Linked DNA regions of Bombyx mori. Each later gene encodes a partner of the first gene's protein in a complex. Links are inferred from orthologs where the notes say so. Each region holds a gene or a part of one and is shown in the gene's direction. Other genes may lie near its edges. The genes, in order: general transcription factor IIH subunit 4 and DNA-directed RNA polymerase II polypeptide.

Region 1 (3,836 bases):
AAAGCATCAAAAATGGCGACCTTTAAGCTTACGTTATTTCATGCGGAAAGAGATACTATCAGTGTGCTTAGTGCGAGTTTTTTAACGTTCTCGATAGCGTAAAAGTTAGCTCATATTTGTAAGGAATGGAATCGTTTACGTACGTTTGCCGCTAGGGGCGCTGTTCAAACTGCATACAGAATTGGCTTAACTTTTACGCTATCGAGAACGTTAAAAAACTCGCACTAAGCACACAGGAGCATTATTGCGACCTCTTACCAAATATCCTAGTGCCGCCGCAAAAGACATTTTAATTACATTTGAAAGTAAATTAATTAAATACGCCACTAATATTAAATAAAAATTAAATTATGTATAATTTTTTTCAATATAAATCGATTTAAACAATAATAAGTAAGGTTAATTTTCAAGGCTTACAGATTATAACCTAACCTCTTAAATCTTTTTATTAACTCGGCATTTGTATTATTTACCTGGACTCCACGCTCAAAACACTCTAAAATCCATTCCACTTGAGTTTACGACAGTAACGCTCACAAGCAAGTGGAACGGAAAAAATTGCGGTCGTGAGCGTGATCGTTGTGAACGCTTAGTGGAACGCAGCCTATAAGTGTGGGAAATGTCATCCTCCTCCGTCCGCGTCCCTAGTGTGTGACGTCACCCGGGTCGTGTAATGTTTCAGAGACGCAGAAGACGGGTCCGCCGTTATCACTCGCGCCGGCTTCCAGTTTCTGCTCCTGAGTACACCCAAGCAGGTCGGTTCAGTGTCTGAGCGATGAGCCCGGCCAGCCCGGCCCTCGCGGGGCGGCGGGTGTGACGCGTGTGTGTGCGCAGGTGTGGCTGTTCCTGCAGCACTACCTGCACACGGCCGAGCGCCGCAGCCTCAGCGCCGCCGAGTGCCTGGCCTTCCTCTACCAGCTCAGCTTCAGCACCCTGGGGAAGGTGACTATAATCATTTTTTCCAATGTTAAACTTTTATTGCTAAGATGGACGAACGAGCTCACGACCGCCCGCTGGTCGCCAGAACTCATAGACAAGAACAACAACGTAATTGTTGCCATCCGTTTCAATGCGTTAAATCTTATGAATCTGAACTATACCCATAATATAAACCTTATGAATATTATTCAATCTTAAGAATTTATGTGTCAGTCTCTTTTTACTGTCGCTTTTTTAAAGGTGGCCCGACATGAAAACTCTTGTCGTGGCCGCTGGGAACTACATACCCGATCCTGTAGACCGAATAGTAAATAGTCGAAGTCGCCCTAAATACGTCATTTTGGATCCTCCCGATCCATTAACGGTGCTTTTAGGTACCTCAAGCACCGGTCACCGTCCTCGTTGAACCCGTCGCTTGCGACGAAGGGCTCAACGAGTGAATTAACTCATAGACACAGCCGGACTCGCCGGATCTTCTCAGTGGGACGCGTTTCCGATCCGGTAGTAGATTCTGCGAAGCACTGCTCTTGCTAGGGTCAGTGTTAGCAACACCCCCGGTTAAGCCCCGTGAGCTCACCTACACGTCAAGGAGAAGCTGAAAGAGCCTCCCAAGGCTACAAGTCCAGGTAAGCAAAAAAAGTCGCTTTTTAATTTCATCGTCGTGGCCTAAAGGATGAGACGTCCGGTGCATTCGTGCTGACCGATGCACCGGTGTTCGAATCCCGCAGGCGGATACAAATTTTTCTAATGAAATACGTACTCAACAAATGTTCACGATTGACTTAACATCGTGTAATAAAAATCAAACCCGCTAAATTATAATTTGCGTAATTACTGGTGGTAGGACCTCTTGTGAGTCCGCGCGGGTAGGTACCACCACTTTGCCGATTTCTGCTTCCCAAGTTTTCACTTCAAAAAAACCTGTTCCGTACCGTATCGTTATCACTCGGAGCCTGCGCGCTGTCCGCCGGAACAACACAATCATTCAAACTACTTGAGCGGCTTATCCCGCGCTGTCTGTTGCCTCAATGTCGTTAACGACGTGCTCAATGGTCCAGTAGCCGGGGCCGCCGCCCGCACTGTTACACTGACACTAGAACACGCGGGAATGTACGTCAGAGCAGACTTCATTACGCCCACAACTCGCGAGTACCTATACAAATCGGACTTTGTTTAAAAATATCATCAATTTAAAAAATATATTCTAATTGCTTTTTAAAATATACAATATAGTTATTTTTTTATTCTCCTCCTTCTTGCGTCGTATTCCTCTCACTGCTGAGGGTCGCGACCACCCTTCTGTATCACCTTCGCACGCATGACCTTTCTCCAACTATTTTTGTCTCTGGCGGTGTGGAGGGCGTTGTGAAGTGTGGGATCAAGAGCGGTGCGGATCTGGTCGGACCAACTTATCGGGAAGCGCCCCCGAGGCCTTTTCCCATCCACTTCATAATTATTTGAAAATGTTCAATACGATACAACATCTCTGAATATGTGTCCGGATTGTATGTAATATATGTAATGTGTGTAATATACTGCGGGATGGACAAGTTCTAAAAGTGTTCACGCTTAGAGTTGAAATTATATAAGTGTTTTGAAATTATCAGTAAGACTGTAATAAAATTGATATCTGTTTTTTTTTTAAGAGATTTTATGACCTAGTAACCGAGACCTTTAAGTCATGTCTTATTTTACTTTATATTCTTAATTTTATGAAAAATGATAATATGGAGTGAAATGAAATGAATATGATTAATTTGAGACATTAATCAACTGGGATGAAATGAAATTTAATGAAATGAAATGATATGGGATGAAATATAATCGCAGTAAAATGGTGGTCATTTACTGAGATTTTTTCAGTGGACTTTTTGGAGGAACCCGAGAAGTTACGTCCAGCAGCTTTGTTTCATTTTCCCACATTTGTGCACTTTCACAGATATTAAACAGTTAATAAACCACCATTATTACACATTTAAACCCGAAGAAACACTAAATAGACAAAATAAAACAAATCACACAACTTCACTCCTCGCGTTCCCGCTAAAAAGTCATTGATATCTGAGCCTTACAAAGAGCACAGATACAGCACAGAGTATATGTGGTATGTGGAAAATTATTAACTTAAAGTATCTGTTTGAATGAATTCAATCGTGATGACATTTGAGGTCAAGCATATTTTATAAAAGAAATGTATTGATCAAGTTAATATTTATTAAAATATTTCATTAAAAATTGGTTTTCTGTAATTCAACGCTCATTTAATATCATACAAAAATAGATAGATGAGGTCTGTTTTATTTTAATATAAGAATAAAATAAAAGAGTGCCGCGCGTCTCGTCCGCAGGACTACAGCACGGAGGGCATGAGCAACAACATGCTGGTGTTCCTGCAGCACCTGCGGGAGTTCGGCCTCGTCTACCAGAGGAAGGTCGGTATCTGCGCGCCACTCGGGCGTCGCGGAGCTGCCCCGCGCCACACTATATGGCATTGTAACTGTCTGTCTGTGGGCAACCGTGGGCGGGCGGACACCGGACGTCCGAGTGGCGACTAGGGTCCGCCGCGCGCGGGGACCGGGCCCAACCTCTGCCGTGTGTCGCAGCGCAAGGCGGGCCGCTTCTACCCCACCCGCCTCGCGCTCAACATCCTGCGCGTGCGCTGCGCCGCGCCGCTCGAGGCCGCCGCCGGCGCGCGCGGACACCTCGTGCTGGAGACCAACTACCGCGTGTACGGCTACACCTCCTCCGACCTGCAGGTCGCGCTGCTCGGCCTCTTCACGGAGCTCATCTACAGGTGACGCACCCCCCGCGCCCCGCCGCCCCCGCGCCCCCCCGCCCGCTGACCGTGCCGCCGTCCGCAGGTTCCCCAACGTGGTGGTGGGCGTGGTGAGCCGGGA
Region 2 (3,000 bases), on another chromosome or scaffold:
TACAGTACAAGTATAGTTCCAATTAAAATATATTTTGTAACAGTTAATTTGGCAACACAAGTGCCAAGCTACAGATTTATTAACTGAATGTTGTTTATAATTGGAAATGATAAGGAACAACGGAGTACGTTAACTCGACAATCATTATTTACTGCGTAATTAATAATATTCTAGTGAATATTAATACATATGAATATATTTTAGTGATTTGGTTTATAGAGATAGCCAGTGGCGTAGCGAGGGGGGGCAAGGGGGGATCATGCCCCGGGCGCTATTCACAAAGGGGCGCCAAATGGTCCGCAAAACAAAAAATTGCTGATTTTTTTTTTATAATTGATTTCTAAAAAATATATTTTTAATTTAGTACCAATGTACTATAATAAATGTTAATTCGTAAATAAAAAGGAAAAAAGGGGAGTTTCCACGCGAGTTTAGATCGTTACGCCACTGCACATAGCTTATGTCGAAGATAACCTAGTTGTCCTTTATTTACATAGCCACAACTACAAGAAGTCTCGTTATAGTCATATTTTAATTACCGAAATTAATTGATGAAAAGAGTGGGAAAATTAAAGTTAACCGCAGGATGTGGCATCTTTGGTTTTTTTGTTGCCTAGATGTGTGGACGAGCTCACAGCCCACCTGGTGTTAAGTGGTTACTGAAGCCCATAGACATCTAAAACGTAAATGCACCACCCACCTTGAGATATAAGTTCTAAGGTCTCCGTATAGTTACAACGGTTGCCCCACCCTTCAAACTGAAACGCATTACTGCTTCACGGCAGAGATAGGCAGGGTGGTGGTACCTACCCGTCCGGACTCACACTATAATTTTGCGGGTTTGACTTTTATTACACGATGTAATATGTCAAGTACGTATTTCATTAGAAAAATTGGTACCCGCCTGCGGAACTCGGACACCGTTGCATCGCTAGATACGAATGTACCGGACGTTTATCCTTTAGGCCACGACGACTACAGGTCTACTGGCTTCTTCCAAAAACTCCATTGAGCTCTTAGTTAATTTCCAGCATTTTACCGAAACGTTATATACATCATTTCAGTTCATTCAACACATACATAAGGCTGGCAAGAATGAGTGAGAGAAGCTGAAGATCGTGCTCGGCAATTGGAGAGGCCTATTTTCAGCGTTGAACTACTATAAGTTGATGATGATGATACATAAGGTTAGCTTAGTTCCATTTTACATTCATTCACCAGCAAGGTTAAACATCTTTATTACAAAAAAATTGGTTGTATGAGCTTCGTTCCCTTTGTCTGTGTAGTAAATGAAACAAAAAATATGTGACAAGCACAGAGGTTAGAATTTGGCTAACAAGTTGATTGTTTGGAAGTGTTATTCGTTATTTATTTTGTTATATATTAGATGGTGTTAGTTTCATTAAAAAGAAACCTAATTCATTAAATTAGATTTAAGAAACAGAAAATGCCTTACGCAAATCAACCCTCTGTTCACATAACAGAACTATCTGATGAAAATGTAAAATTCGTTGTGGAAGATACCGAATTAAGCGTAGCAAACAGTATGAGACGCGTATTTATCGCTGAAACACCAACAATGGCCATCGATTGGGTACAGTTAGAAGCTAATTCCACCGTTTTGAGCGATGAATTCTTAGCACACCGCATCGGTCTCATTCCGCTCATATCAGACGACGTTGTAGACAAAATCAGGTACTCGCGTGATTGCATGTGTGTTGATTTTTGTTCCGAATGCAGTGTCGAATTTACATTAGACGTAAAATGCACAGATGAACAAACAAGACATGTAACAACTGCTGATTTGAAATCGAGCGATCCTAGAGTTGTCCCTGTTACATCACGACATAGAGATGAAGACCAGGCCGATTATGGTGAAGCAGATGAAATATTGATCATTAAGTTACGCAAGGGTCAGGAATTGAAGCTTCGGGCATATGCAAAAAAAGGTTTTGGGAAAGAGCATGCAAAATGGAATCCAACTGCTGGTGTGTCCTTTGAATATGACCCTGATAATATAATGAGACATACGTTATATCCAAAACCAGATGAATGGCCCAAAAGCGAGCACACTGAACTTAATGAAGATCAGTATGAGGCGGACTTCAACTGGGAAGCGAAACCAAACAAATTCTTTTATAATGTAGAATCATCAGGAGCTCTTAAACCAGAGAATATTGTATTAATGGGAATAGTTGTACTGAAAAACAAATTACTGAATCTTCAAGTGCAGTTAGCGCAAGAGGCACAAAATGATGCCTTAGCAATTAATTGATTTCATAAAATCTAATATTACAATAAATTTAATTAGATAATAAATGTTTTTGTAATTTAAGTTTACATTTTACCTTATGGTGTGTATAAGCCTTCATTTTTCAAAAGCTTAGAATGTTATACACAGTATTTCAGTCTGCAGTCTTTTTGAGAAAAAATCATACTAAAGTGAATGTTTCTGTTTCACATCAAAAACTAGTAATACTTGTGGAATGCAATTAAGAGGTTTATACACAACTTGCACAACATGAATACAACTTTAAACACAAATTAATACTACGGCCTTGTAATCACAAGAAACATATGATTTAATAATAATCTGCAGCTTTTTGCCTAAGAAGATACTCAGTAGCTACTAAATAAAAAAGGAAATTTTACTTTCTGATACATAGATATGGACAAAAAAATTAATGTTACAATAATTTCTGTTTAATTCATTGTACATATTAATTTAAGTAGTTAAACTTTCATAAAAGTATAGAAACTTAGAACCAATATTGTTTTATTATTATGTATACATAATCAATTAAAACATTTGTCACTTTATACACAGCAGTATTATTCTGTTGTTTAGAACAATTAGTGATGTGATCTTACTGCAAAAAACAATTCAAAATATTCATTAGATGTATATTTTTTAATTGCCCTTGTAGACAGACCAGCATACGGCCCACCTGATGGTGAGTGGTTACCGTCTCCCATGGACTTCAGCAATGCCAGGGGCAA

The links.
Region 2: general transcription factor IIH subunit 4 (region 1) and DNA-directed RNA polymerase II polypeptide share a complex: the UniProt entries of both Homo sapiens proteins name them as parts of the TBP-based Pol II pre-initiation complex. The link is inferred for Bombyx mori from reciprocal best matches to the Homo sapiens genes GTF2H4 and POLR2C.

What each region holds. Positions count from the first base shown.
Region 1 is NC_085125.1:212,480-216,315, reverse strand, and holds part of general transcription factor IIH subunit 4, read left to right. Parts: intron 1-682; coding exon 683-755; intron 756-834; coding exon 835-942; intron 943-3,287; coding exon 3,288-3,371; intron 3,372-3,542; coding exon 3,543-3,733; intron 3,734-3,800; coding exon 3,801-3,836. UniProt on the Homo sapiens protein: Component of the general transcription and DNA repair factor IIH (TFIIH) core complex, which is involved in general and transcription-coupled nucleotide excision repair (NER) of damaged DNA and, when complexed to CAK, in RNA transcription by RNA polymerase II.
Region 2 is NC_085131.1:5,447,848-5,450,847, reverse strand, and holds DNA-directed RNA polymerase II polypeptide, read left to right. Parts: upstream 1-1,336; 5' UTR 1,337-1,447; coding exon 1,448-2,275; 3' UTR 2,276-2,306; downstream 2,307-3,000. UniProt on the Homo sapiens protein: Core component of RNA polymerase II (Pol II), a DNA-dependent RNA polymerase which synthesizes mRNA precursors and many functional non-coding RNAs using the four ribonucleoside triphosphates as substrates.